Oreochromis niloticus: one gene and its partner. Each later gene encodes a partner of the first gene's protein in a complex. Links are inferred from orthologs where the notes say so. Each region holds a gene or a part of one and is shown in the gene's direction. Other genes may lie near its edges. The genes, in order: prkaa2 and prkab1a.

Region 1 (16,149 bases):
GAATGGATGGATGGATGGATAGTAATTCCAGTCTCAATCTTAAGCTAAGTGTTTACAGAGGACACATATTCATTATCATTTATACTGTCACCCCTGAGGTTTTAAAAATGGCATGCCAAGCAGATGCCTTGGATGTTTTGAAATTTGTCACACATCAAACACTATACAGTTAGGCAAGCCCACCCAGTTAGTCCTATCTTAAGGTCACTAAAGCCATGAGCAAGAGTATGTGAGGCTTTCCACATATTTAGAGATAGTGTGCATACATTCAAGACAGATCCCGGAAGAGCAAAGGGTCATAGGTGAGGGATGTGGCATAACTCTAGGATTATACTATAGCCTACAGGATCCAAATGTCACTGTGACGCTGCGTATTGTATCTTTGAGAGTGTGCGGTTGTGTGTGTGGCTATGTGGGTGTGAAAGTGGATTACTGTGGTTTCACTGGCGACTTCAGCCAACTTCTTTCTGAAACAATTTTAAGCTGTCGACCACAAAGGGCTTTAAAAATGTCCTCGTAATCCAAATAAACAAACTTGGCTCCATATAAACCACCCATGCTTTTACCATACACATAATCACTGTTTAGGAAACATACATTTATAAACGCGTGCAAAAACATGCACTGATACAGATGTTTGGCTCGAGATATTAGTTTCTTTGTTTCCACAGGTTGCTGATGTGTCTCACACATGTACAAAGCTCACAATTACACAAACACAGACGCACACATAGATACACAGGAGTGGCTGAGGTCAGCAGAGTGGTGCACAGAGTGAATCCCTTTTTCCCCCCCTGTGTGAATGCTGTAGCTACCGGGGGGCCGCTGGCTGAAGCATGTGCTTACTCAGAGAGATTTTATTCACAGGAATAAATGCCTTTTTACACACAGGCATCTGTTGGGACACACTCTAGGGTCTTTTACCAGCAGGCACCTGTGTGGGCAACTTCTGAGTGCTGCTGCTGGCCCTGTGTTGCTTTTGGCTTATAAGTGCATTTGAAGAGATGAAGAGAAATTCACCTTTGGTCCACATCAGAAACTAGGGAAGGCAAGAGGATATTCATAATTTGTTTTAAAAAGATCAGTTAAAAGTTATGGAGACTTATTTAATGCTTGGCTGCACTCTCAGTAAAAAAGACAAATGCACAGCTGCTCCAATGAAGAGAAACATGAGCAGCGTCCAGGGGCCAGATCACGTTATCTGGCTGGTTGGTTAGATGGCTGGCTAGGCGTTTCTCAACGATTGCCATAATGGCATTATTACCCCTTGGGACAAAAGCCTGGCTGTGGAGAGGAGGGCTATGGATTCTCTGAAACCTGATGCTTTCATCTCTGGGTAATGCTCCCCTGAACTTAACGCAAGACTGTCTTCTCATTCCAGCTCACTTCAGCATATACCCCAGACCATTTTTTATAACTGTGTACACAAGATGTTAAACTGCTGCTACAGTACAAATGTAAAGCATGATGTTTTCTAGTGTTACATGGATCCTCTTCAGCCAGGGGGCTTCTCTGTATGTAAACAGGATAGAGCTCAGTGGCTGCAGCTTAGATAAGGCCTGTGCCATTAAAGATGCTGAGCTGATTACTACACAGCTCTGAGCAGATAAGCACTACAGCCCACAATCCAGTCAACAATACAGCTAGAAGCAGCAACAGCCATAAACCACTGATAGATAATCAAGCGACCTTGAGTATCCAGTAAGAAGCTTCTTACACCCTCTCATCTCTCCCTCATTCACTTATTACCCCTCCCTTCTATTTCATCCTCCTTCTGTCTGCCACTGGTCTGTTGGTCCCTGTTAACGAAACAAAGAGCGCTGAGATGCATCAAAAGGGGTATTGTTCTCTCCGAAACAGAGAAATCCCCCTGACCCCCAAACCCCCATCCCTGGATGCACACAGCACACACACACACACAAATACAGAAGACTGTATATGCAGTAAGAGAAAGTGACAGACAGAGGGGCCTGTGTAACAGCAGGAAGCAAGCCCAAGAAAGGATAGTGTGGGGGGGAAAGAGATTTAATGAGGCCCATAACTTCAGATCATCTGCCGCTTGCGCTCTAATTTACATTAAAGGGCTAGTGCCATTGTTGTTCATCACATGTTGATTAATAGAAAAACACTGGGTTAAATCAAAAAAGTAACTGTGGAAAAAGTAGAAAGTCTAAGAGTTAATATTTTCATGGGTATAATAGGCAAACAGATGTTTGTTGCCCACATGCAGAATTCTGTGAAATATACATTTACATTTCTTGGTGAAAGCTAAAACACAAGTTTAAACACATGCAAAATTGACTGCTAACAAAAGCTTATTGTAAGGTCCTGCCCAGTAATCCAAAATGACTTAAATAAGCAGTTTGAAAAGTGTTTATATGAGAGGGATATAATCATAGATGAGACATGAGAATGAGAGGCATTACTACACTATTGTTGTCAAAGCGTAAACTACAAGCTGGTGTCTTTGTTTTATTGTGCAATCTGTGTGCCAGGATGGCGACAGTATAAAAAAAAGGTAAAGGAGATGAATGTGTCTGGTTTGTATAGCAGTGTGAACAGCTACAGGCAAATTGGTCAAGCTTATGCCTTCAGCTTGCCCACGGGAGCCACATGGGACACATGTCTATAAATCGAGCCACACATGCCTCACACATGCTACCCACAGAGTGAATACAGAATGCTTCACCCTTCAGGCTATATGGTCCATTTAATGACAGCTCTGGGTGCTCTCTCTCTTACTCCCGAATCCCAAAGGACACACATGCACACGCTCACACCCACGCACCTCTAATCACAGCCCTGCTAAGGCACATACCCCAGGGGTTTGGTGGTTAACTCTTGCACCAGCAGAAACCAGCCGCATGTCACAATGACAGTCGGGAAATGCTGCAGACCTGTCTGGCATTGATGCAACCGGTGCTCTTCATCTCAACACGCACGAAAAAAAACATAGATCTTCTCAAAAATGTGCAATTATATTAGCATCTTATCTAGGAGAGATAGTATCCCTATGGCTTCTGTTATCAGGGACATCTGCTGATCTTTATCCTCTGCCAGAGGACACTCATCACCTTCTTAAGAGCCATAACCTCACCTTGTCCCGAAGCCGCCAACATAAACACTCATCACAGGCTGGCCACAGATAACATTTAGATATCATAACGGCAAAAGTATAGTCGAGTAATCAAGCTATGTTGTGTTGTGATGTGCAAAGTGTTCTCACAATAAACACTCAATCTGATCACTGTCAAAACTGAATCCTGAGACATATTCTTCTGTGCATGTCTATTAAGCGTCTGCTGTGGTTGACACATGAGTGTAACTAATGTCACACAGAGAGCATTGCAGACATTGATCATATGTGAGTCTATTTTCTTTCTGACCTTTCACCTAATGTTTAAACAGATCCCAATAAATCCCAGCCAAATATATTTCAAAGAACATGTTCATGGCTCTCACCTCTGAAAGACTTGTGCAGAATCCCTGAGAATATTTACCCTTGGATTAAGGTCAGCATCTTTGGATTGGAGCCTGTGTTTCAGTTTCTCTTTGATGGATTCACATGCTGCTTCAATATAGTTTTCTAACAGACACAGACTGTATAATCTATGCATATCTATATTCTTCTAATATTATTTTGTTCATTATAGATTTTTCCCTTATTATTCTGGGACAATTATGAAGACAGAAGACTGGCTCCGGTAGAGAAGGAACAGGGGGAAGGAATGGAGATAGATGTGGAAATGGACTAGGAGAAAAAAAAAAGAGTCAGGATTTCATTTCACAACCACACCCACCTCCGACCGACACTACCTTTCCGTTTCCCACCCTTTCCTGAGCTCCAATATACACACACACTCTATATGCCCCCTGGTTCACTTACTCCCAAAATTGCACCAGATGTCCCATCCAGAGTCTTTGGGCACAGAGGTACAGCCAGATGAAGAATTTGTGAAATTCTCGAAAATATTTGTAGAGCGGCTCAGGATTGAAGTGGCTGAGGCCTGGAGAGGTGGAGGTTAAACCTCTCTGACTTTAATGAGAGGCTGTGTGACTGACTGCTGTAATGTTATAGCAGCTGATGGGAACGCAGGAGTCGAATACAGAAGGATTAACGCTCCGGGGCCAGTTATGAAGCTGATTCCTCGAGGCCAAAAGGTTACGCTCTTCTTGGCTACCTGTCTGTGATTTGTGGAAAAGCAGACCACTGAACACCTGACTGTATCAGAGCTCCAAATTTTGCAATAAACACATAATTAAATGTTTTAAAACATTATATATTTTTTTGCCTCCTAGATCATAATAAGGAGATAGATCATGATCCTTTAAAAGAAGCATATATAGAGTCAATGAAGCCAGTCCCGGACAATCCATGTTTATGTTTTACAAAAAGACCACTCCATCCCAAACCAGTTCTGCAGAAGCAAACACATAATGTATAATCCCCTTTGCATTGTGTAAAACTTAATCATGGTTTAAGTGAGACTACTTTTGGATGCTTGGGTTCCAGAGGGCTCTAGTCTGTGTCTCGTTGCAGTGTTCTCACAATAAACATTTTTTTTTTTTCAAACAGCCAAGAGAAGACTATTGGGCAGTGAGTCGCCAAAAGGGAATACGAAATTCTGCGGTCGAGTTTGTGTATTTATAGTGAGTGTATACTGTTTGTGTGCACGCTCCTTATAGCGTTGCTAAATCAACTCGACTGCTCTGTAGGAGTGGAACCTGATCCAGAGTGAAATCAGCAGATGATGGTCGCGCTCAGCTGCCAAAACTGTATGCCGTAACCCCGGTCTTGGTAGTTGAGTGCTGGAGAGAATGTGAGTATGCTTTTTCAATGCCTTTCTAATCTTGCTGTGCTTGTGCATTATCATTTTTGTTTAGCAAAACCAACTGGGATGGGTTCTTCATTAAACATGTAAACATGTTTTCTTTTGTCCTTGTGTGCAGCTATAGATGGCCTCAGATGTCTTTTATGCAGACACTCATTATCTGCGCCTAAGGGTGTGTCAGTTGGGCACATTAACATCCGTTAGGAAGATGTAACTGCAGAGACTCTGCGTGTAGAGCCCAGCTGGCAGAATAGGAACTAATTAAAGGTAATGAGATATTTATCTATTTCCTAGTTTTAGTAGTGTACACTACTTTTTAGCCATAAACACGCTCAGAACAAAAGCCACCAACCATTAAGCATTCCGCTGAGCTCTTCGACAACACACCCGCATTCCTCCTTCCTCATTCAGGATGCCCTGATAACCCTCCCTTTCTACTGATCTCTTCTCCCTCTCTTTTAACCCCCTCCCCAGTCACCCCTCGCACCAACCCGCAACTCCCCCCAAACCACTGAAGTGGGCCAACCAATCATCACTGAGCAGCCAGATTGTGTTTAGCATAACAAAGGAGAATCTTTGTAACCATTTGTTACTGTGTTCTTACATACATTGTGTGAGTTTACAGGCATACATGCGTGTCTGTGAGTGTGTGTGGGTGTCCTAACAAGGCAATGGAGAACTGTCTGTAGAGCTTTAACCAATAAAGGAAGTTGGTTTGTGCAGGAAATTCAGTCCACATGTGATCAAAGCTCATCTACAGTTATATGAACGCAGATGAAACAGTGTATCTCTGTCTGGGGTTCTTTAATAAGAAAACTAGTATAAACCCAATGGAAAACTTTGTCAGCGAGCTTTGCTTCTACCTCACAGCACTTATGTGGAGTTAATGTGCACCATTTGTAACATACTGGATGATACAATCCAGTTCCTGTGTGGTAGTGTTGCATACTTCATTGGTACTTTACTAGTTCCTTTATATTGCACTATTGGTGTGTCTCCCACCTGCTCCTCTAAAGCCCGGTCAGCCACTGGTCCCACTTTTCGATCCCTCACTCAAATTGGAGAGGCATTCCCCTACCACAACACATGCTTAAGCAATTATTCCACGCATTCCCCTGGACAGAGAGGGAGAAAGAGAGCCAGAAAGAAAGAAAGAAAGTAATTTGAAGTGAAGAGATCAGGGGCAGCTGGCCAGGGATTGGCAAGATTCTGGGAGTGAATGTGTAGAAGTTAAGCAGAACTCCCATAATCCTTTTCCAAAAAAGAGAAAGGGGAGATGGGGGGAATGAAAATAGTGTGAAAAGAAGGAGGGGGGGGGGCACTGGCACTCAACACTAAAAGGACTGGGCTACAGTGACAACAGCCAAAAACAAACCAGCAAAGCAACACACACACACAGACACACATACACAAAGGCAGCACACTGAATCTGCATGGGATGCCCACTGAATAACCCACTGAATAACATGTTCATCTGATTTGGGGTCAGATGATCATGGTTATCAGAGAACAGACTGGGGGAAGTGGTGGGTGTTGTCTGGTTATTTTTAAGGGCAGGTTCGAACACTTGAAAATATTTATGCCCCGGGCATGTTGACAAGGAGCACTAGGACCAACTGATCAGTTACAGTGACACTCCATGGACTTTGAAATGATCAGTATATTATCTGGTGACAGTTCTCTCCGATGAGAAGTCAGTCAGCTGTCTTGATAACAACAACAGTTTTCTCTTTTTCTCAGTTTACAAACTGATTGTGATTCTGGGTTGAATTAAAGAAAATTAAAAGTGCGAACTCCTGAAATGTTGTTTGATTTTTTTATTTTATTTTTTTGTTCGCCACTTCCACTGCCCGGGGGTGTTGCGTTGGAACTGGATGATAAGGGGATGTTGCAGCTTAAGTTGTTTTGCAGTTACAGATAACGGGCAACTTTTAAAATGATAATACTCTTATTGGCAAACTTGAGAAAAGGCGGGCACTGTTTATCTATTCTAAAGAGGGCTTTTATTGTGAGTGCAATGTGCAGAAGTTTCTGTCTTCAGTTTTTTGTGCATGTACTCTACAACAGCTGATGTGAGATACGCAGTTTAAATGGTAACAGAGAGGAAAGCATCGTGTAAACGTATCTGTGAACTTACCAAGTAGAAGGCAGAAGACATCGAGCACTATTAGCACCTTCTTCTTACTGTTGTCAACACCATTGTTGTTATTTAACGTAGAGGTTCCTCCGTTCCTTGTCTCTTGAGCCATTGCTTTCTCATACATGTAATTTTGCATTTGATGAGTCCCCGTTTCAGTTCAAAATCCCACACTGCACGGTCTGTGAAGAAACTCTGTCAGGCTCTCAAGTCCTTGGAAGAAATGTCATGCAAAGCAACGGGAAACAAACTTCCCAACTCGCAGCTCTCTCGGAGTGTCTGATCTGTTTATGACTCGCTCTCTCGTATTTCACTTTTACAAAATAATTAAAAGTCAGATGAGTAGTCGGCTAAATGGAGAACGGACCCGCGGCACGAACTTAGTTTAAAAAAAATTTGCCTGCACTGGTACTGAATGGAAAGCCCGCTCCTCTTTATCTGTCTTGTTTCAAAGACTTGGAGTGAGACTTGCGTTGCGCATCGACAGCCGCTCTTGTTATATCAATCCTTCTTCTCCTCCTCCTCCCCCCGCTCTCTTAGTTCCTACAGCAGCCCTCCTCCTCTCGTCTCCATCCCTGCTTGAAAAACTTGGAAGAGTGGAGCCCAGCAGTGGACAGACGGAAAAACTACTCCTAGCGGTTACTCACGGTAACAGGCGCGAAACAACCGAAGCGCTTTTGAGTTGAGACTATTAAAAATCTTTGTTCTTGGACAGACAAAATAAAGAGAATATGTTCCAGTATATAGTGCTAGAGTTTTTTTTGTTGTTGTAATTTTCGACAAAGAATTTATTTTAAAAGATAAAAAAATATATAATATTGTAACAATTAAAGTTCAATTGTTAATTAAAAGATTGATATTTGTTTTTCATGTGCAAAATGTGTCGAAACTTTATATATATTTGTCCAGTACAGAGACAAAGTCGGGAAGTGTGTAATTCGTGATTTTAATCTTTTTTAACTTCAGGAAATTTTTGTTTCCAGACGATTTTTTATATGTTTAATTTAAAAAAAAACTTATAATATAACATAATGTAATATAATATGTTGGTGAGCGAACACTATTTGTTGTCCAATTTGAGAAGCTCGAGCCTTGTGTTATTTTGTGTATTTTCATCGTATTCCCGTTTCCTCTTTTTTCACATTGTTGTTTTGTCCTAGATTCCTTTCGATGTGGTTTTTGTCCGGGGAAATGGCTATATAAACAAACATTGCTTGCTTGTTGCGTATTGAACATACGCAGAACATAGCAGCAGAACGAAATCCGAAACTCATACCAGGTATTGATGAATCATGCGTATACTGCCATCTAGTGGTGAAATCCGAACAGCTCAACTTTGTCCTTTTTTCTTTCTTTCTTTCTTTTTTAAGTTTTCTAAAATTGTCATGGCTACCTATTTTCTTTAACCAGGTTATTAAAATCTAATACGTAATTTGTGAAACGACGATATGCACACACCAGCGTTAGATATGTAAATGTAAAGACTGGGTAGCGTTACTTTTCAGTCCCTTACTTGAATTAAGGCAATAATGTACGGGATCTTCCAGGGTCAGTTTTGTGCATAATATGCAAGTACTGGTCTTTTATTGCAGTCTGTAAGATTCTTGACAACAGAAATAATGACGCTTGTGTTACTGCACCAGAGTGCATTTATGAATAATGAAGAAAAAAAAATCAATTTACTTAAAACAACAGATACCCATACTAATAATCACTCACGAAATTTAAGAAATTAAATATATATACGATTTTATAAATATTGATAGTCTATATTTATTGCAGGACTGGTTTAATAACGGTCTATACGCAAACGTTACATACCTTACACACCCATGTAGCAGACAGGTGTTACTGTGTTTAGACCGTGAGGGTTGGTATTTGACTGGGCTACTAAACTCAACATAACACCCCGTCGGTCGCTCCGTGCAAGGTAGGTGGGAGAGCGCGCCTGGTTCTTGGAGGGATAATTCGCGTGCGTGCGCGCGTTTTCCGCCGTTGGTGATTCTTCACTGTGAAGTGCCCCGCCCCCTCCTCCCCGCCCCCGTGCGCTGCACAGGCCAGGCAGGCAGTGCTCCCACCTCCCCGAGCGATCCAAGCCGTCGGTAACGGAGAAGATGGCAGAGAGGCAACAACAGAAACACGAAGGCAGGGTAAAGATCGGCCATTACATCCTCGGCGACACGCTCGGAGTGGGGACATTCGGCAAAGTGAAGAGTTAAGTCCTGTTTCTGTGTCATGCCAGGCTTCATGTGTACGTTTGTGTCTTCAGTTGGAGTAGTTAATGTCAAGTAGTCGCTGTGCCCCCCTCCCCTCCCATCTCTTTAACGCTCCGCGTTCAACTTGCTGGTGGTCAGTGAAGCAGTTGGCGTAGCTGAGCGGTTTAACCACGGCAACAGACTGGATTTTAAACGTACTGTAGTCTGAGAATCCGACCGCTTCAAAGTCAAATTCTTTCACCGAAGCCCCCTTCAGTAGCTGCTGTTATCAGCTATGGGAGGTGATAAAACCTGGATGCACGGAGATGCACAGTCACACTCGCATTATTATGGTATAACGTTAAGTAATAAGGACTGTGCGGTGGTGGCTGTCCTTTGCCCTGTCTGGCGACAAAGGACGTCTGAAGCTCACCGTTTGACCCACCGTGGGAACCTAACGTTGAACTGACATTAATGTTTGCAAGCTAGTCCGATGTGTTATTCTCTGCTAGCCGGTGGTAGCTTGTTAAGTGCTTGTCAAGTCGGGCAAACCCTAGACAATCTTAAAGCTTCAAAAGGATGCATATAACAGATTATTATTAGGGTTGCCTTCGCTAGTTCTCTGACACTCAGCATGACCTTGTGAGCTTTAACTCCATGCTCACCCCGCCTGTTTCTTGTGTGTGCTGCTAAAGCATTTGAAACCATGGCTATTTCTGAACATCATTATTAAGGAAAATGATTTTGCTCACACTCCCAAACCACTAGGAGTGTGAAAATCTGTGTCAAGTCATGTGTGAATGAATACAAAATGACTGTATGTGTATATGTAATGCTTGCTCGTTTCAGGTTACTGCTTGTGTGTTAGTTGTGGAGCAGTTCATGCCCCAGTTCGTATCTGATTCTGAGTTTCGTGTGCAGTGTTTGGCAGCTGCAATAACAGCTTGGTTTCAGAGCCTCCAGCAGGCAGATAGCTCCAACACTATAAACAAACGCATGGAAAGAAAATAGGGGTTACAAAAGAGAGCAAAAGCTCAATATAACAAACACAGTTCATTCACTACTTCGTGCGAGCTTCCTACGCAACAGGACTCCAAATCAAAGTGTAACCCTTTTAATCCACACCAAGCTGCTTATGTAGTAGGTTATGTGATTTATTTATTTTTTATTAATTTTTTTAGCCTCTGTGGTCTGTCTCTTTCATGTCTGCATTCTGTTGTTTTTAGTTGGTGAGCATCAGTTGACAGGCCATAAAGTGGCTGTGAAGATCCTGAACAGACAGAAGATCCGTAGTCTCGATGTTGTGGGGAAGATCAAACGAGAGATCCAGAATCTTAAGCTGTTCAGACACCCACACATCATCAAGCTGTAAGTGGAGAAAGACGACACATCCGTCTGTCAGATTGAAGACTCTCAGTGAAGACTGACAGGCTTTGCAGAGAGATAACTGGGCTCTCTTTTATTATTGCTTGTTGTAACGTGGGTTCTTTGCTGTGTGTTGTGGCATGCTTTGCTTGTTCACGTGTTTTCTAGAGCTGTACTCTACTGAGCATGCCCACAAGGCTCACAGGAGGTAAAACACACAAACATACCAATGCACGCACACAAGCTTTGAGCTAGATAAAGAAATGTGCTCTGGCTAGGACAAATCTCCAGTTAAGATGGTGGATATTGTCTAAATCCCTCTCTCCTCATGGGTCTTTCCGTGTCTTTGTTGTCCTTCTTTCTCTTTCCTTCTATCTCCCTGGCCTCTTTCACCTTGTTAGTCCATGTCTGTCCGTCCCTCTCAACATTGTTTGTGATATTTTTAGTCTAGGGTTAGGGTTAGTCCACTGTAAAACTCTAAGCAATGGCAGATATGCGAGTTGTCAGGTCATAAGCTGGAGTGCTGTGGAAGTCAGTGTCAGAGACATATACAATAATAAACACATGCACACTGTGTACACTTCTTGTACAGACATGGAAGCAGTTTAACATACCGACCATGACTATAAAAGCTGCCACACTCTCAACTGTTAGAAGAAAAGAAGTTATTTGTCTTAATGTTTCTCCTCCCATAGTCCCTGTGGTGTTAGGCTTCACCCAGCTTGACAGGATTGAAATAGATTGTGATAAAGTTTATATTCTACCACCGGCAACCATTCATGAAATTGTGCCTGCAATTTAACATACCTGACCTTTATGAAAGCAACCCAATATCACAGCCTTGCCGTGCCTTTGTTTCTGTGTGCTAATGCTGTGTATTGTTTATGTAGACGATATAGGTTTAGACATTCGGGTTCACTCATCTGTGTCCTTGTTTTGAAAGAAAAGCACATTTGTTCTTATTTCCAGTAAATTAATCAGAAATGTCATGAATGACAAATATGACTGACTGATGATTTTTAATAGCAACAATCACTCCTGTGTCCTGTTGCACAAGTTACAGAAATGATCATGAGAAGAAACCTCTCCAAATATGATAGCACATCTGATAACTGCTGTGTTGATTAAAGAAACAATTCATTTGGTTAGCTGAGTTACTGGAACATCAACTCTTGCCTGCTCGAGAATTAAAAGTGACTTTTATTTTGAAAGCCATCTTAATAGGGAAATGAAAGCTATTCCTTGTGGGAAATTGTGAAAACTGAAGATGCCATAGAAAGGTGTGTCCTACCCCCTACATAAAACCACAAAAACCTGAACCTGAATAGAAAGAGGAATGAGAGGCCTGCAACACAGAGCAAGGAAACAAATGCATCAGACACTCTATTTTCAGAAACAGACACCTCATGGGTCCTAAACTGGCAGCTTCGCTAATTGGTAACCACAAAATACTATTTCTGGGATCAGCAGTGAAGAAGCAGCTCCCGGGGCCTCCCTTGTAGGCAGAGTTGCAAAGAAAAAGCCATATATCCTTCTGCTAATGTCTTTTGCCCATCATAATCTTTTCCTGATATACTCAAAAAACTGGACAGAGGTGGCTATACGCCTCTCTAGCGATTCAATTAAAAACATGTAATTTTTAATTAATGATTTCATTACTGACTTTGTCAGGAAAAAGAGTTTTAATTATTTTAATGTTATTTCCATTAAAAATTAATCTACCTAAAAAAGGGACATGTCTAAGTGATCACACTTTTAATTTTTGAGAATAAAAGGTGAAAATAGAAGATAGAAGGTGAAATCAACTAATGAATGTATTAAAAGTTCATTGAAATACAACAGTTTGGGGTTTTTTGTTGTTGTTGTCAGGTACCAGGTCATAAGCACACCGACAGATTTTTTCATGGTCATGGAGTATGTGTCGGGAGGCGAGCTGTTTGATTACATCTGCAAGAATGGACGGGTAAGATGACATTCTTCTATTATCTTGCTGGTAGATTTCAGCCTGGCTGAGTACAGTGGTCAATGAATCATCCGAAATTCTTTTATTATCCAGTGGCATGGTTAGCTGACTAAACAGAAGCCTGACTGGTTAAACAGTTCTGACAGTTTAAAAGCAATTGTTGCATATATTTGATAAACATATCAAGCAAAAATCTGATGATGGTTTGTTTCCTGGGCTTGTGCAGTAATCCAGGTAGACTTGCTCTTAAAAATAGCTGAGTGTATTTATACTTAACTTTGTGTTGACTGTAGTTTTTCACATTATTTAAATCCACATCCTTCACATTATATATATTATAAACTATATGGTCTTGCTTTAGCTTTAAATATAAGCTTCTTACTACTGTCATTTTGAGTAGGTATCTATATTTTAATTAACTTAAAATGCACATTTAAACTATGTTCCTAAACATGTGCTTCTGTTTTCAAGTGCGACTTACAACGTCTCTCCTTGTTTTGTCATGTATACATTACATCATATTACATTATAATAGTGGATGCTCGTGTTAAACATGGGCAAACTTTCAAAAACTTAGATGAAGTCAGTTTATGTGAAAGTAATTCCTATGAGCCAAAGTTTCATGCTTTAGATTTGTCTAAACATTTAATTTCAGGCAGTTTTTTCTGCCCTTAGCTCTGTGTGGTGTCAATGAAAGCAAATATCTCTAGAGCACAAAGCTCTACCTGTGAGCATAAAAAACATTTCTTAGATTTTCTGTTCACGAGGGGCAACCAATCAGAAGAAAGTTGGTTTAAAATGAGCGTAAAGATGGCTCAGACATCATATTAACTGATAGGTTCCACAGGCCTAGTATGACATAAATAAGGTTTATTTTGAACTGTGAGTCACGAAAAGCTGCCCTAGGAAAGTCTAGTAAAGCCATTCATAGTTTTCTATTATGTTTATAAACTTCACCTTTTGAAATTTAAGTAGTGTGACTCTTAATGGACTGCATGGTTATGCATTAGTCCCACACAGCGCCTACACACACCTTTGCAGAACGTTGCATGTCTTACCTGTTTATGTCGCCAGGGTCAGAAACATCCACAATATGCACTACTCCTACTCTTGTACATGTTTGTGCTATTGTTGGTCCTTTAGTCCTGCTTCTGCCAAGGAGAGCGAGCCAAAGTCACTGATTATAGTCAAGTGAAACTAGTGTTAAAAGCAATGAAACTGTCCACTGTCCACTGTTTTTTAATCTTTTGTTCTTTTTTGTGCTTCTCCCCCTCTCTCTCTTCATGAACTCTGTTGTCACTACCTTTTGTGTTGAAGCCCATTTTCAACTAGTCCGTAGGCAGCGTTCTACAGTTTAGAAAACCAGAGTATTTAAAATCACTAGCTTTTTACCATTAGCATCCACGAAGCCAGCTATTCTCTCGGGTCATTAATGGCACTTAAAAGAGATAAATGGGCTAATGATTATTGATCTTAAATTTAATTACCTGCGTAGAAAACCCAGTCTGAAATGTTTTCCATTTGTAATAAATCAGTAAATGAATGTTTTCCATAATAACTCTAAATGTTAGTGCTTTTTTTGCACTGACTCAACAAAATCTGCTAGAAATGTTTTTAAAGTTGGGTCCTGTGACAGGCTGACCCAGTTGCACACTTGTAGATCAGAGGGAGCATCATCACTCAGATCAGTCATGTCTATTCATTTTGTGTCTTTCAGGTGGAGGACACTGAAGCACGCCGCCTCTTCCAGCAGATTATCTCAGCTGTAGACTACTGTCACCGGCACATGGTGGTCCACAGAGACCTCAAACCTGAGAATGTCCTATTGGATGCCAATAAGAATGCAAAGATAGCAGACTTTGGTAAGAAAACAGGCTCGACAATAGAATTCTTTTGCAAATTCATGGTAAGAGGACACATAAAATACTGAGGTTTGTTTAGGGTGACAGAATAAAATTACATAGTTTAAATAAAGCCAAGTGACAGCTGTTTATGATTCAACACATGCAGTAACTTTGTTAACTTGAAGAAAAATGTGAACTCTAATTGTGCACCTTTTAGCTTTATTAAATGATAAGGAATATGTCACTTGAGAATGCCTCTTATCAGTTAAGGCCTTAATTTTTGTAATTTAAGTCAAAATTGCTGATGTAATATGAACATGGAAGAGAGAAATATTTTCAAAAACACACAAGGGCCCTTATGCGCAGCAGGGCGTGTGGGGTGGAGAGACATCCCTTAGCAACGGCAAGGTTTCATATCAAGTCTGGCAGGAAGCCTTGAGGCCCAGTGTCATCTGATAGGGAAGGAATCAAGAGGGGGGGGGGGGGGGGGGGGGGGTGGCAGTGGAGTACAGCAGGAGAAGTGTTTTGGCTGAGAGCAAAAATACTGGCAAGCAGAGCAAGGGAGTGTTAAGGGACCAGGGATAAAAGATAAAGGGAAGGTCAGCACAACACAGAGTGTCTGACGTTTAATGTTTGGCAGAGACCCTGGTAGGCAGAGAGAGGCTCATCCAATTAAACGAGCTTTGTGTTTAGAGCTTAGTGTCTTGGAGAGTAAAGAAGGATAAAGGTCTCAGTAGTGTCCGCAGTGTATAACTCCCTGTTGGGCCATGTTCAAATTTAACCTGGAGACAGGTGACAGATTAGGGGGAAAAACCTGAACCCTTGACCCGTACAAGGAGGGGTTCTGGAGATGTGTTGTGTTGTTGGGATCTTTTTGCTGGCAGGGTTTGACTAGCCCGTCTGTTCCTTTAGAGGAAAAGGTCACTAGAAATCAGTGCAATGTTCTGAACGATCACCTTATTACTTCATCCTGGGATGAAACATTTCTATCCTGTCTGCTAGAGTGGTCGCTTCAAGGGTTACAGTACCCTGTTTATAGGCCATTAGTGGTCACTGACTGGATTCATGAGGATGGAAAATATGGTCATATACTGTGCTGTTTTGGGTCTTTCTGTGTGAAGTTTTGCCTCCAAAGACATGATTGTCGGTTAATTTATGATTCTAAATTGGCCATAGGGGTGGGTATGACTAGTCTTTCTCGTTGTGCCAGCTCTGTGCTGGACTGGCTCTCTGTCACAGACATGACAGATGACACGACAGATGGACAGTGATAGGTTTCACTCCCTTGAAACTCTAAGTTGAATGGAAAGAAGAAAAATATATCGGTCTATTATTAGAAATTAATAGAATTGATAAAATGATATGCTACAACCATCACACATCTAAACCCAGTTGAGCACCTATGTGAGATAGGTTCACTGCTCTCCACGCCCCATCTCCACCGAATGATGAAATATCTTTTGAGGGTGCTTGAACACCTTAAAAGAGTTCTAAAGCTGAAGCTGTTCTGGTGGCAGCAGGTGGCTCATCTCCATACTAAGATGCTTTGTTGTTGTTATGCTTGTTGCTGTAAGAATAAAGACAGAGAGATATTAATGTTCTCTTGTCATTTAATTGGGATTGTCCGACAGGACTGTCAAACATGATGTCAGATGGAGAATTCCTACGAACTAGCTGTGGCTCACCCAACTATGCAGCTCCAGAAGTCATCTCAGGAAGGTTTGTGTGTCTGTTTTTTGTGTGTGATCATACAACCAACTATTTTTGTTATTGACTTATCTAATAATTGTATTTATGTTTAACCGTTAACCTA
Region 2 (15,905 bases), on another chromosome or scaffold:
CCTTTGGGCCCCAAAATGTCCTAATTATAACGCCACGCAACTGAAATGGGATTGTGTTATGCACCATTAAAACTGTTAATCGCGCCACACAGAACATGCAAATTAATTTCTGGTAGTGTTTGATTTGTGGGAGGAGATTAACCACGCAGCTACATTAACGGAACATATACCAAACAACATTGAAAGCTATCTGCATACATTATAAGAGAACTGCTATACATACCAGTATAAATTATCATGCATTAAAAAGATGTATTTATTCCTGTATTCTCTGATGTATCCTGTTTTCTCCATTTCACCCAAGAATCCGTGTTCAAGAAAATGCTAACTGTGAAAGGGGATGTTAAAGCTAACCCTGTAAGTGACATGTATATACTGCCATATAGTGCATTTTGGTATTATTGTCTCAGAGCTGCACTATAACAAGGTGTAAAATGCCACTCCTCGTATTCTAATGTCATTATTTGCACTGTGGGAATGAGATGTAGTTGGACTATTGACATAATCACTGTACTGAAAGACTGAGATCTGCTGGAAATGTTTGTCCTTTGCTAATATGCAGAAGCACTCTTTAAAAACTGCTATGGAAAACAAGATGAAATTATATAATGTAACAGATTACACGATAATTTTAAGGCACGTGAACCTGCCCCTGAATCACTAGAAATCTACTGTAATGAATAGGACATCATGTAGTGTTTATGCCATGTAATGGAGGTTTTATGCTGGGTTCTTTTGAAGTAAATAAAGTATGGTAATTAAATCAAATTGTGTGGTTTGAGGGATAATGTGTTGTAGTGCTGAAATGCTTGCATAGTATTTACCATATTGAGACTCTTTGTTTTCAAAGTATCAGCAAATATAATTAAAACTTTACAGATTTAGGGGTTTTTTTTTTTGTTTTTTTTTTTTCATTTTAAAACTCAAACGATATTAAATGGAATGGGGATAAGACTCAAATCAAAGATCAAATATTAATTGGAAAATTAATAAAAATAAACCTAAAATAAAACTGACCATGTCTGATAGGAAGGTTACAGTAACCGGTGGTATACTGATGAGCATCAATGAATGCACAACATATCAAACCTTGACACAGACTAACTACAGCAACAGAAGACCACACTGGTGCCACTCCTGTCAGCTAACAACTGGAAACTGGCTACAATTTGCACAGTCTCGCTTAAACTGGACAATAGAATATTGGAAAAGATGTCACTTTTGAGTCTTGATTTCTGTTGCCACATTTGGATGGAAGAATTCTTGGTATAAAAACATGAAACCAGGGATTTGTTCTGCCTTTCATCAATTGTTCAGGATGCTTCTGGTAGTGTAATGGAGTGGGGTATTCTTTAAGCGCACATTGTGCCCCTTAATACCAACTGAGTATTGTTTAAAGCAGGGGTAGGCAACTCCAGGCCTCGAGTGCTGGTTTTAAGATATCACTCTTTGTCAACACATCTCAATCAAATGATTAGTTCATTAACAGGCCTCTGGAGAACTTCAAGACATGTTGGGGAGGTAATTTAGCCATTTGAATCAGCTGTGTTGGATCAAGGACACATCTAAAACCTGCAGGACGCCGCCACTCGAGGCCTGGAGTTGCCTACCCCTGGTTTAAAGAATACTGCCTGCCTGTCCCTTTATAACAGTCTACCCTTCTTCTGATGGACATTTCTAGCAGGATAACAAGCCATATTACAAAGGTCTATTCATCTCAGACTTGGTTTCTTGAAAATGACTGAGTTTATTGTACTCAAATGGCCTCCAGTTACCAGATCTCAATCCAATCCTTACCCAGAAGGAACACAGACCTCAACCACACAATGTACAAACTGTCTTGGCTAAACACTACAAAAATGTGAACTTTCTGACCAGAGGCAAAAACTAAAAATCTGGACCAAATTTACACAAACATTAAAGAAGCATAGAAGGCTTTGCCCTCTGTCTGTTGGATCACATTTCACTGGCAGTGACTCCATAATATAGAACTCTAATCTGTAGAATCAGATCAGCTGTTAAAACTGTTCAGGTCTGGAGTGAGGAGATCGCTTCACTACTGCAGAACTGTTTTGAAAGTGCAGCTTGAAACAGCATCAGGAAATGAGTATAAACTCTATGACAAGCCTATTTCTCATTTTGAAATGGCCCTTTACTGGCACTGTTAAACACACCACATGCAAATCAAACTCAAAATTCTGTATTCTTCATAAGCCTCCAAATCATCCAAGGATTATCTAAAAAGGGGAAAAACTACTACTGCTACTACTTTACCAATGTTGTACTTATGTTTGATTTGGAACTGGTAGCTTTGTCATTCTTTTAGTATAATGTAATGTGTGATGTGACTTCTGGGATTTATCTGAAACCAGACATTTAATGACACAATGTTTGATCAACTCTTAGGGCCAGTGTAACTTATGCTAGCTTGTTGCATTTGCTAAAACAAAACAAAACAAACAAATCTGCATGCATCTGACAGCATCCATTGCTGTTGGTGAGAAATGAGACTGCTTTTGTTTACTTCTGTGTGAAATTGAATAGCCATTGTTGTGCAACGGTAGAATGAAAAGCTTGACAAGCGTAACATAGCAATAGAGTAGCACTGAATTTACACTTGTTTAAAATTCACTTATCAGACTCTGTTTGATTGCCTCATGCACTCTTTTTCCAAGCAGCTGGAGCAGACAGCACGACGGGATAGAATTGCTGCAACATCAACAAAGCTATGACTGCGAAGATTACACATTTCATGGAGTATAAAGAGGCTTTCCTTGAAAACCTCAACCATAAAATCTCAATATACAGCATGGAGGTCAAGAAGGTAGAACATTCAGAAGTGGCCCTTCGTGGAGCAGTTTGAAATGAAGTGTTGCCTTTAAGTGTATGACCACTGGAACTTTCACCTACACACAATTAAAATTAAAACAACACTCTCTCATACCTACAAGAGGTTATACCATCTTTGTGCTAAGCGACTTTCCATATATTGATTGAAAAGAGAGTACAATTTGCCTCAGAAAGTAAAGGTGGTAAAAATAGAGAAGGGAAAATGTACAGTAAAATAGTTGTCAGACCCTATAGCTAAGATAAGATGGCCTTTATTAGTCCCACAGGTGGGAAATTTGTTAAAACTAAGAAAAACAACCAGAACTAGCACAAAACGGTAGAACATGGTTGCAGAGTCTAATTACTAATACGTTAGTTATAAAAATTACTAGAAGAAAAAAGATAAGAAGGAAAGAAACTCAGAATGAGCAGAGCTGCTGTAACAGGCTGCCGCACACGGGGGGCGCCGGAAGTAGCTCCCCTGTTGCCCTCAGGCTTTTTACTTTTATCTGTTAGTAATGGAACAGAGTCCAGCAGTTATATCTACCCAGATGTTAAACTGAAGGTCAGACTAACTGTTCAAACTAACTGTAGGTGACAAACACACAAGCAGTAGAAAGAGAGAAAAGGCAAAATGGAGGGAGAGAGAGCGAGCGTGGGAGTGAAATCATTTGGATGAGGATGTTATGTAATTGTTTCATAACAGATTCAATGATGATCTTCTTGACCAGGCTAATTGCTACATTAAATGCTGAGTCAAATGTGAAACTTGAGCTCTGAATTAATTCAAGGTTATCCCGCCCAAATAGCCTCACAAATTAACGTGCTAATGAGAAAGACTGTTTGAAGCCCTCTTGTGCGGACTTTGCATCATTTGGGATATTCAGCTTATGACTAAGTACTTTTTTTTTCTGCTGAAACAAAGGCTCCGAAAAATTAAGATTGTTGAAAAGTTGTTTGAAAAGAGCTGAAAGCAAAGCAAAAATTCTGACTTCACTTTCTTTAAAGCATGAAACAGCAACTCTAAGCAGTGAATGGTATAAAAATATCTATTTCTCCTTTAATCAGTGTCATATTGGGCAGAAGCAGAAGAAGCATAAATAAATTAAAGTGTGCATTGTAGTGGTCTGCCCTGCTGCCTGTTCAGGGACTATCTTGCTTTTCACCCATTGTCAGTCAAGTTAAACTATTCTTAGACCAAAACAGATGATGACAGGATGCATGGCCAATTTACCAATCAATTAATCCAAGAATGTAAAACATGCAAACTAAGCTATTACATCTTAAAATCCAAACTGTTCTGTTTTATAGGGGGATGACTATTTTTCTATTTTCCATTTTTGTTATAGTTTCAATCAATAAAAATAACCAGTAATCCAATTCTGTCTACAGTAGATAAACCATGGCATGTTCCTAAGTGCATTATGAAAAAAAAAGTCAGTGAATTACATGTGAAGGGCTCTGTTGTCATAAACATGGAAACTATCGTCACTTCCAAATTTTGCTTCCATAAATAAATAAATACATTTTGATGGTGCATTAATTTGTTCCTAACTGCCTCCAGCAACTGCACAGTTGACTTTTGTTTGATTTCAGTGTCCCCAGTAACCTCTGTACTGTATTTATGATCTGTTTTTTTTAAAAGTACATCTTCAACAGAAAACAAATAATGTTGTTGTAACAGAGCTCTACCTTTCAGTTAATGATAGTGAGATGATATGGCATCATGTTTGAATGTTAGCACTTTAATAAAAGTAGTCTTTGCTTACTAGTCCATAAGTGTGCCAAATCGGTGTTATGCACAGATGTGAGCCTGTAAGAGTATCAAAGAAACAACCGTTTTTTGGGGTTTTTTTTCTTTTGAGTCTCTCCATGTGTGATCCAGAGGAGCTCTGTACAAAGGTTATCTGGCGTGTCCTACAGGGAGTGTAACAGGGCCAGCTGCTGGCAGAGGTGCTGTGATGCGGATGGCTGCTGTTGTGTGATGGCTTCACTCAGCAGGGATGAGTAATGGTAAACAAGTGTGGCAGTGCGGTCATAGCTCTGGGGAAGCAGAGCCAGAGGAGAGCTGCAGTAAAATGTCAGCGCACAGTTTCTTCATGGAGTTCACAGACTGGTTTGAGTGCCAGTGCAGGATTTCTAAATAGGCAGTGAGTTCCAGTTTGGCAACTATTAGGTTTAATTTTTCTGGTGGTAATGAGTGTCAGTGGCAATGCCTTATCGTAGAGTTTGATTTGAAGGTCATCTGCATACGTGGGAATACAGACACAAGACACTCCAGTCTCACTGAAAAACAAGACCTCAGTGGGGATACTTGCCAACTCCTTTTCAACACATCAAAATCCATACCATCCAACTCTATTTCTCCAATGCCATTTTTAGATCATCCTCCGCATGTAAGCAAATAATTCACATCCCACTTCCACCAGCACAGCCAACTTTTTCCTTGGAGCCAACTCAGTCTTTGCAACTGACACGAGCCAATTACAGTCGTCTGGTTCCAGGAAGTACAGCCATTGCTCTTTTTTCATTTTTCTTTTCTTTTTTTCCTCTTGAGCTAATTTGATTCAATGTTGAAGTACTCAGTAAAAGTGTTGCATTTGTCCACTGCACAAAAATATGCATTTAAAATTTTGGCTCATGCTTTTTTTTTGTTTTGTTTCGGCATCTCTAAAAAATAAAGCTGAGGAAAAACCAACAAAAGCTGGCTATAACAAGGCATAAGCTGTGAAGGGAAAAATTAAATCTCTGTAATTGAACACCCCATGTGGATCGACATCTGTGTGATGCAGTCAAGTGTGGCTGGCCATGGATGTAATTTGGGGCTGTGCCTGCTGTAACATACACAGATAACAGGGCCTTGTGAAAATGTAAATTCTTCTCTTTTAAAACGGTCCAGTGAAATCCCACCTCCCCTCAGCTCAAACATCTCTACTGGACATTAAAAAAAAACCAGAGCCTTAGCTGCTCATTATGTGCCAAAAGGCTGCACAGCTTTCTCTGCCTCCTGTGTCTCGAAGATGCTGTTGTGCCATTGGGGGGTGGACATCGTTAACTCTTTTAAATCTCTGTCAAACTTTAAGAAAAATGAGAGTTGATAAAGTTAGGGAATGTTGGTGAGGGGACAAACAAACATCAAAGGATTTTTTTAAGCTTTTGCTGCAGTTTTGTGTGACTGCTAACAGGAGATACTGTAACAGAAATGTACCCCATGAGGTGCAATAACAACAGACAGGGAGCGAACACTAATAGCAAAAAGCACTGCATTTGCTGTTAAATGTTCCACTTGTATTGCAGAAGTAACAGAACATAAAAATGTGTAGTTAATAAAAATGATGACAATCCATTTGCTGTGTTACAAGTAGCAACACAGTGTGCTGTTACTGTATGACTTATAATAAATGCATTTTACTAAAGCTAAATCTGAATACTTTTTGATGTTATTAATTGCACCTTCTCTTTCCCTGCTTTTTCTTTTATTACCAGGCACACAGACGCCACAGTACTGCTCAGGGTGCTTGCCACCACAGCAGCCTAATGAGTTTTCACACTGTCCAACAGTTAGGTCGGGCTGCCTTACAAGGACTGGTGATTTGCTGCTTCGTCTCTATCTCTTTATCTCTACAGGGTGTTGATATTTTAATCATCACAGAAGCATGGCTTTGAATTCAAACAATTATTTAGGTGACCGTATTAGGCATTCTCACAGCTGGATCTGATTCCACATATTACATTTGTGAAATGTGTTAAAGGCAATTATACCAAGGAACAAATTCATAATAAATATCAGGGATAGGATAAAGCTACTGTGTTTTTGTTATACCAGCAGTCTAATTTTTGCCCAAAGCACTGTCACTGGCTGCAAGACATCATTAGCCTAACTGGTGGTATGAAACACAATGTATAAGCATATCATATTTAGACCTACTACAATATTCTATCAGTATCTGCATCTATATTTATGTAGACCATGGATTGGAGATTATGACACTGACAAAAAGACAGGAGGCAAAGCTGGAGTTGGCAGGGTTGAAGACGATAAGATTTTCATTTGGAATGACCAGAATGGAAAGGATTAGAAATGAGTACACCTCAGGAGTAGTCTGTGTTTGGATCTGTGCACAGGAGGGATATGAGGATATAATAGGCAAATGATGTTAAATATGCACCTGACAAGCCAGCGGAAAAGAGGAAGACCACAGAGAAGATTCATGGATTTAGTGAAGGTGACTATGCAGAGGGTTGTTGTATCAAAGGATGCCAGAGATAGGTCAAGTTGGAGGCAGGTAGTCTGCGGATCATCAAAGCTGAAAAAAGTGTTTTTCTATGGATTTGAAGGATTGCTATGTGCATTTTAAATATTACAAATGTTGCACAAGGATGGCAGCAAACTGCATTAAAGAAAAAAAAAAGTCTCATCCTTCTATTGGCTCATTAAACACAACTCTATATCCATTGTACTGACCCACATTGCAGGCTACTTGACTCACTCTTCCATCTAGTGTTGAGTACGTGACATTACGTCTGTCATTATAGAGAATTACATTATAAAAGGTTATAATAGTCGAACATTAAACCAAAAGATTTATTATGGATAAGAGCAGTTTATGAGACAATAAACGACGGTAGTAGTGATGGGTAATATTTTGCTTTTCACGAGGTCAGGGTGCATTAATATTTTGCATTTTGATGATGTGCGCATGCGCAACAGGGGCCGGGTTCTGCTAGAAGGATCAAATGTTTTTGTTTTCGTGTGGGATGGAAGGTAGCTGACAGGTCGATATCGATATCTACGACGGCAAACGTTTCTCAGGTAAACAAAACAACCCTGCGTTTCTTGTCGGTGTTTGCGTTCATTAGTTGGTGTCACCTTTTAAGTCGAAGCAGGTAGCAGGTTTGGGCTACATATGCTAGTAGGTTACCCAATGTTAGCTTTAGTAACGGTGTATTTCATAGCTTCTTTGGTAGATATCTCTTATAGCCTGGTGTTTATTTGTTATAATTTAGAGTATGAGGCCACAGGAAGTGGGAATGGAGCTTAGACGTTAAGATGAGCTAACATAACCGCAGGCATGTCACAGCCTTTGATGCTAGTATGTAAACACAGTGTTGATAAGAGAAAAACACGCTGCGCATACATGTACACACCTGTTTGACATCGTTTCCATAAATATCATCATATAACCAAAAATAGCCAAGTTATTCTAAGGAAACTGAAATGAGAAGGTTTTCATGTTGCACGGTACTAGAGTATTCCAGTAACACTCCCATTCAGTGGTATTTCCAAATACAGTTTCATACTTTTCCTAAAGTAAAGTAAACTGGCAGATATCATAACAGTAAATCAGTAAAACATCATTTGACTTTAAAACCTCCAGTGTCACTTGTGGGAGTGTTTCAGGTAGAGTTTTATTTCATTGTATAACATTATGAGGTCAATAATAAGTAATCCATTACTGTAAATATGGTTTCTGCTGTTCTTTTAAAAAGGTTGTCTTACCTTTACTTGTGTGTACTGATACAGCAGGAAGTGCAGATTCCATGATATTGTTCTATAAGTAAAAGAACAACAAAGTGTGTTCAGAGTGTTGGCTAGAAAATTGTTTTTTATTCTGTAATTGTATTTTTATATTGTAAATAACTGAGTGTAAGCTAAAAATGTAAGGAACAGCATTATATTTATAGGCCTATAAATGAACTGCAGTAATGTAAATGTATTCTAGAGACAATGGTATACTCAATCAAATACACTGATCCTTTAGGAATTAGGTATCATGCTGAAATACGTGTTTTATTAGGATCACATTTAAACTAACATTACAAGACAGTTGAACTTTGATAATGCAAGTGTTCAGGTGGGACACTGAAACATATACAAGATATCTGGTATTAATGTCTCAGGGATTGTTTTGGAGTCAATAAAGGAACTCCTAGTTGTTCAGTATGATACACTGAGAAATGGAAAAGTTGTAGTCTGCCCACATGATTCAGCTTGTTCTACTGCAGAAGTCACTATAAATAATGTTGGTACCTAAAAATGTCTGTTTTGAGATTTGCAGGCCTAAAAAGCAACATTTTTAACAGTAAGCCTTTAGCAGTTATAAATAAATCTGTAAGGTGTTATGTAGTCTCTTCTGAGTTTACGGCTTTCTTTACACAGCTGAATCAACTCTACTTGCAGTGACCTTGTAACAGCCCGCAAGAAGACAAAGCCATGGGGAATACAAGCAGTGAGAGGGCTGCAATGGGCCACGGGGAGAAGGCTCAGCGGAGGGACAGCCGAGGTATTAAAGAGGGCGAGAGGCCAAAAATCCTCATGGATAGCCCGGAGGATGCTGATATTTTTCACGGAGAGGACATAAAGGTAAATTGCGCTGCTCTCTCAGAGGCGCATATCAGGTAGAATTTATAGCCTTCTTGGCCCTGTAGATTTCTTCAAACTCTAATCCTTGTTGATAAACAATAGTCTTGTGTATGATATGCATTTCAGGCACCTTTAGAGAAAGAGGAGTTCCTTGCTTGGCAGCAAGACTTAGAATCAGATGACAAAGCACCAACTCTGGAACGACCGACAGTCTTTCGCTGGAAAGGAGATGGAAAGGAGGTCTACCTCTCTGGATCCTTCAACAACTGGGCCAACAAAATTCCCCTTATTAGAAGGTGAGAGCATGTTATAAATCTGAACATGTTTTTCAGGTAGACCTTGAATTTCTGGCTGTTTATCTTTTGAGATTTAAACTAGAGTTTTAACAGATTTCTTTTACAATATTTCTATTTGCATATGAGAAAGGTTTAGTAGAACTAGCCAAGGAGGCAAATCTATATATTATAGGTACATGTGATTTCTTCTTCTTTTTTAAATGGCTGGTTTAAATTACCTGTGTGCCAAATGTTTTCTTTTGTTTTGTTTGTGATCTATCAAAGTCAGAACACCTTTGTGGCAATTGTCGATCTACCTGAGGGGGAGCATCAGTACAAATTTTACGTGGATGGCCAGTGGACCCACGACCCAGCTGAGGTAAGCGGTTACTCTCGCAGTCATTTATAAGCGTATTTTACTTTTCTTACCTAGACCTCAACACAAAATCTGCAGCAGTTTCAGTTTTTAAAGGGATTGCAGCTCTGCCATTCCTGTAAAGTCTGGGTAGACAAAAGCATATATTCACTGATGCAGTATTATTATCATTGCATTATGAGTAATAACTTGTGGGTGTATTAAGGCCACTAGTGTAGGTTAAGATGAGCTGGCTTCATGACTGACTGCAGGCACTTATCTGAGTCACCTTATCTGATGTCATGCTTTAACAATAAACATCTTTTTTTCTCTCTTCAGAAATATAGTAACAAGTGTATAAAATATGTTAGCACACACATATGGTAAACAGGACAAATGGTGCAGTGGAGGGGCGTGACTAGAGGTAGAGTAGTCATGAGTGGACATTAGTTTAAGAGGCTCAAGTGGTTTGTTTCACATCATGATGCTTGTTAAAGCAAACAGTGGCCTGCTATTATATAAATTATGTCTTTCTGGTCTATACTTTTGAGCTTTATTTGTGAGTTTTATTGTCTCCTGTTTCCTAACAGCCTGTTGTAACCAGTCAGCTAGGCACAGTCAACAATATCATTCAGGTAAAGAAGACTGACTTTGAGGTTTTTGATGCGCTAATGGTGGATTCGCAGAAATGCTCTGACATGTCAGGTGAGTGCCGACAGCCACTTTTAATCTGTGCTTTTTTTACATTTACTGATCCAGACTACATGTATGGAAAGCAGGGGTATAAAGTGTTCAAAAAGAATCTTCATTCATTTTAAAGACCAACATTTTTGTTCCTGCCTTTTTTAATGGATGTCAACATTGCTGTTAAAATCTATAGGTTTGAAAATAATTTAATGTTCTTGTCATACTGTTCCCCCTTTTTTTCCCCCCTCAGACCTTTCTAGCTCTCCTCCTGGGCCATATCATCAGGATGCTTATGTCCCTAAACAGGAAGAGAAGTTCAAATCTCCACCCATTCTTCCACCTCACCTTCTACAGGTCATCCTTAACAAAGACACTGGGATTTCTGTAAGTAGCTGTAATCTGAGATGAATTTGGCTTATTCCCACTTTCCCCTGCCCCCTAAAAATAGAATAGAATAGCCCTTTATTGTCATTGTACACGTACAACAAAATTGTGAAAAAATGCATCCACAAGAATAAATAATACAGATCATTTATTTGAAATGTTGTTATTTTGTTTGTCATTGTTTCAGTGTGACCCTGCACTGCTCCCAGAACCCAACCATGTCATGCTCAACCACCTCTATGCACTTTCCATTAAGGTAAGGTTTCAGGGTGACTTTTAAGATTTTTGTGTTTGATGTTTTTCGGCAGCGTGTGGGAGAACTTGATCAGCTTTGTAAGCATTTTAACAGAAAGTATGCGCTGCTGCTGCTGCTTCTGCTTTTAGCAAGCTTGCATGTTGTTGGCACAGCAGATTGAATCTATGCAATGCCAAAAAGGCTGATAAATGGGACAGAAGAACAGATGAAGGACAGATAATTCTCCTTTCACAGGAAAAACAAACTTGCATTTCAAGATAGCCACAGCAAATGTCTGCATGTAAAAAAAGGAGTGGAAAACAAAACAAACTATGTGTATTTTCCATTTCAGGTAGCGGGTGGTCAGATATTCACTTTTTTCCATTTGGTTTCACCTGTAATGTAGTTAAGTAGTTGTACATGGAGCAGATAAAATGCTAAATACAGAGCTTAAACACATTTTTGAATGACTTTATGTAGGCTGTGCGATATGACCAAAATCTCATATCCCGATATTAAGACATCTATCGTCCGATAACGATATAAATCACAAAAATGTAACATTTTCTGTAAATTCTGTGAATGTCGGGCAGCTCGACTTGCGTGAAGTGTTTCCAGCTGGGCGTCGCGTACCTGGAGTCGAGTGTTTTAACTGATGCATGAAACGATACATTTTTAGACATAAGTTGTAACAGCCGCCGTTTTCTTTGTGAGTATTTATCACACAGCGTGCTGCGGGGAAAAGCCTGTTCGAACGTTTGAGTCTAAGGTTTATTTTTTAGCATCTGACGGCTCTTTTTTGCTTCTCATCCGTAAATACTCTGCATCTTTCACGTGATTCAGTTTATTTTGAAAAGTCTCAACAGGATCTTGAGCTTTATTGTGAAAGGTTTATGTGGAAAATAAACAAGCAGACATGCGGTGGTTTTACCGTCGTTGTTGCTAACGACAACGCATAAAAACAAGCGCTTCTCCGTCTGTAGTGTGGTTATATTAAACATAAGAGAAAGAGAGAACTTTAGGAAATTAATATAGCCACTACAGTGACCATCAAAATAATGAAAAAATATTGCCGTAAACAGTTTATTTTGCGACACCACGAAACAAACGATAGCGTAAAATGAAACGATAGACGTTTTTATATCGTCATCCGATATATATCGTTATATCGAACAGCCCTAACTTTATGTTCACCAATTTGACCTGTGAGAAAAACTTTCATTTTGGGGACAATCTGAAAGGCTCTATTTAAACTTAATCTTAATGACTGTTGATACATTAGTAATGCTGCTAAGTGACAATCTTGAATATGCATCACATTATTTCATTATGTCTTATGTCTGGTTGAGTAATCTGATTAAAAAATACTTCTGCTCAGACGGTTCAATTCTAGAAATTGCAGTGCTTTTAATAGCTTAAAACTTAACAACTAACAAATAAACCCTTTCATTGTATTCATGCTATATTGAAATCAGATGCAACAATAAATAGTCATAAGTACAGCAATGTCAAACAAAAATAAGGCATAATATAAAATAGCCTTTCCTCGGTCTTCTAGGAAGTCTTTGTTACGTTAGGAGGCAAAAAAAAGTTCTGACAGTATTGTTTCTCCTGGATGATGTAGTGTGTTTATGTGTGTGTTTTGTGCACCTCCATGTGTGTCTGTGTGTTTAAATGTGCTAGTGAATGAGTTACTGTGTGTGTCTGTAACCTTTAAAGGAGCATGTGGTGGCTGCAATGAAGAAAAGTGAGCATATCACCATTCTCAGAACTGAGGGTTGCTGCCACGTTTCCTACTGCACAAACAGACACTCTGATGGTGTAGATGTTAATAATTAATGTTAATAGTTAATGTTTAGGATAATTCAGTGTCCAGCCTAACAGTCCCAGGTCAGTGACTCAGAGTGTTACTGGCCGGTGGAAAGAAAAAAGGAAAAAAAGCAAGCTTTTATTTTTATAAATTTCTTTTAAATATATATTTACTATATACATCTGACAAATTGTTGTCAGAAGAGGTGATTTGATGAAGGAGTCCCACCATGGGCACCCATTCAAGTTTGTGAATGTGATAACTCGAGAAGAAGGTGACGCATCACCTTCAAATTGATACCATAAGTGTATTTATTAAAAGTCTCGGACGAGTTCGAATCTTATTGACGTCAACTTAAAGGTCAGAGGTCATGTTTTCTGAAAGTCCTGTTAATACGAGAAACTTCAGAACAAGGTGACGTAGGATTTTGAAATCAATACCATAGATCTGTCTACCAGGAGGCTGGTGGTTGCCAGTATTTTCTTTGTCTTTATGTACATTTATATGAGAGTCTGAACAGACTTGGGTGTGAACTGCAATTTGACTGGTAGGGGGAGGCATGCAACCATGATGCTGCAATTCTGGTTTCATGTGTGTCCTAAAAAAGCCACAGCCTTACCGATTGCAGCTTAACCATACTGGCTTATAGCATGGTGGAACTGTACATGGTAAGACTGATGCTACTGTTTCCATACTAGTTGAAAGCATGCATTGTGTGAGGTTTTAAGATGACTTCTCCTCTGTGTTGTATCTTTCTGTCACAGGACGGAGTGATGGTACTCAGTGCAACACATCGCTATAAGAAGAAATACGTCACCACCTTGCTTTATAAGCCCATCTGATGAAGCATTCTTTTCTATATTTGGAGCTGTTGTTAACTGTACACTGAGTGTACAAAATGTTAGCTACACATTTTTTTTTCCCCAAAAATCCAGTATATATTCCTTCCAGGTTTCACCAGTTAGATCCATTCTGACCAAAAGAAGCAGCCCTGAATAAGCCGAGGGAACAAATTAAGTTTGTAAAATGTTGACTTGATTTCCAGAAAAAATTTGGACTGAGGGTTATAGTAATTGCTTTACAGTAATGCACTAAAAGCAATACATACAAATAACAAATGATTCAGTTGGACAGCCACTTACTGGAAAACAGACAGAAAAGAGTTATTTTAAAGGAAGCCTGCTGTAAAAGGTAGTTTAAGTGATGATGATGCTTTTCCCATGCAGTACATCACATCCGATTTTTGTGTCATATATCAGCACAACTAACTAATAGCTGGATTGGATTGGTGGGTAAATGAGGTCACTGTGTTCACTTCAGTTCTGTGTTACTGTGTTTACTATAGGAATATTTAATATGTAACATAGACTATAGTAATTATATAGCACATCGTGGTTTTTGGGCACCTGTTTTGAAGCCTGAAGTTGGGTACTTCAAGTATTATTTCTTTCTTTTTTTTCTTTTCTTTTTTTTTAACTGGCAAACGAGTGGTGGTTGTGACACTTAGTCGTTACATACACAACAGTGCCCTTACAGTACCCTGCTTTTTCCCTAGTTTTACCCTGAATGCGAAAGTGAACATAATTTAGTATTACATAAGATGATTGAAAGCATAAACTCATTAGTAAAGTGTGTACGGTGGTCATAAGTCAATAGAAAAGTAGGGTTATTTTACTAATAGACTTCCATAAAATCTGACTTTTTTTTGCAATGAGTGGGCTTTTCCCCTGCTGGAAAGATTACAGGTTTAAAGCACTACTGCTTTTAATATACAGTCTTTGGCCAGCAACACCCACTAGCTTCATTTTAATAGCAAGAACTAACAAAGCATGCAGGGAGCCAGGAGTAAAGGGTAAGTGGAGGGATTTCATGATTCCTACACCAGTAAGTTTGCTTGGTTGGTTTGTTTGCAGTGCTCTGTGTATTAGTTTTGATTTGGCAAAGTCGGCTGATGACAGAAAGTTGACGGTGCTGTCTATGCCAGCTTGTCTTTTGGCATTTTGTTTGTTAACATCACATGCTGCAAAGCTTTTAGTGCATTTTAATAAAATGAAAAGTTGTGCTCTAATTAAGTAAAAACAACTTCACAGTAAAGCAGCAAAGAGAAAAGCACAGCTTCTCTCACACTTTGCTAAAATGAAGGAAATTTGGTAAATTATTTTTTCCAAAAGTTGAATCTGTTCATCTGGACGTAGCATTTGGTGGAAGAAACGTTTCGTCACTCATCCAAGTGACTTCTTCAGTCTCAGCTGACTGCAGGTTTCCCCAACCCTTATAAACAGTATATTTGCATAATGACTGAAACCAGCCCACTGAAGGAACAATGGGCTGTGAGGTCAGTTCCTTAATCATAATTATGCAAATTCCCATGACCACTTTCCTGGATGATTGAGAATGCATCAAGACGATAAATTATTTTTTATTCATTTCTTAATTTTATATTTATTAGTTTATTAAATATTGTTAAGTACCAAAATGACTACTAATTTATATATACACTATATAGTGCTAAGACAATTAAGGGAACACTTGAACGATTGTAACTATGATTTTTGCTGTGATTTTTGAATCCAGCCCCCGGGGGGTTAATGAGTTTGGTTTTTACTGACTGTTGTTAGGCCGTTTTGTTCTCAACAAACTACACAATGTATGTCAGTAAAGATTGTTTTACTTGAATACTTCATTCGTCAAGATCTAATGGGTAATGTAATTTTCCCCTTTATATTTGGTACATTTTGGTTTTGCAAAGTTTGGAAGGGAATGATTAAGGCAAGTGCAAATTACTTTAATTTGCACTTGCAAATGGTATTGAGTGATGCCCAAAGTGATGGTACCCATGTTTATATTGTGACTGAAAATACTGGCTCAGTAAATTCTTGTAACCTGCATGACAGTTTTAGATTAACCTAAACATTATAAGAGGTTAGCAACTCTGAGATTATGCACACTATTGTGCACATCTGTTT

Evidence for each region.
Region 2: the proteins of prkaa2 (region 1) and prkab1a are in contact, whole or in part, in a crystal structure (PDB 8BIK), measured with the Homo sapiens proteins. The link is inferred for Oreochromis niloticus from reciprocal best matches to the Homo sapiens genes PRKAA2 and PRKAB1. Residues at the interface, in NP_006243.2 of Homo sapiens: Gly9, Val11, Lys12, Ile13, Thr21, Lys29, Lys31, Asn48, Arg49, Arg53, Asp56, Val58, Ile61, Lys62, Ile65, Gln66, Lys69, Val82, Ile83, Ser84, Thr85, Pro86, Thr87, Asp88, Phe89, Phe90, Met134, Met164, Ser165, Asp166; in NP_006244.2 of Homo sapiens: Pro79, Thr80, Val81, Arg83, Thr106, Ser108, Asn111, Val113, Ile115, Gln154, Val155, Asp159, Phe160, Glu161, Val162, Phe163, Ala165, Leu166, Asp169, Ser170, Lys172, Cys173, Pro186, Tyr187, His188, Gln189, Glu190, Pro191, Tyr192, Ala202.

What each region holds. Positions count from the first base shown.
Region 1 is NC_031986.2:38,371,497-38,387,645, forward strand, and holds the start of prkaa2 (5'-AMP-activated protein kinase catalytic subunit alpha-2), read left to right. Parts: upstream 1-9,009; 5' UTR 9,010-9,083; coding exon 9,084-9,183; intron 9,184-10,390; coding exon 10,391-10,532; intron 10,533-12,398; coding exon 12,399-12,492; intron 12,493-14,209; coding exon 14,210-14,354; intron 14,355-15,967; coding exon 15,968-16,055; intron 16,056-16,149. Other genes in the region: plpp3 (phospholipid phosphatase 3), read right to left, coding at 6,970-7,108. UniProt on the Homo sapiens protein: Catalytic subunit of AMP-activated protein kinase (AMPK), an energy sensor protein kinase that plays a key role in regulating cellular energy metabolism.
Region 2 is NC_031972.2:28,445,513-28,461,417, forward strand, and holds prkab1a (5'-AMP-activated protein kinase subunit beta-1a), read left to right. Parts: upstream 1-7,513; 5' UTR 7,514-7,642; intron 7,643-8,989; 5' UTR 8,990-9,043; coding exon 9,044-9,193; intron 9,194-9,319; coding exon 9,320-9,489; intron 9,490-9,753; coding exon 9,754-9,847; intron 9,848-10,413; coding exon 10,414-10,528; intron 10,529-10,760; coding exon 10,761-10,894; intron 10,895-11,081; coding exon 11,082-11,150; intron 11,151-13,703; coding exon 13,704-13,781; 3' UTR 13,782-14,989; downstream 14,990-15,905. UniProt on the Homo sapiens protein: Non-catalytic subunit of AMP-activated protein kinase (AMPK), an energy sensor protein kinase that plays a key role in regulating cellular energy metabolism.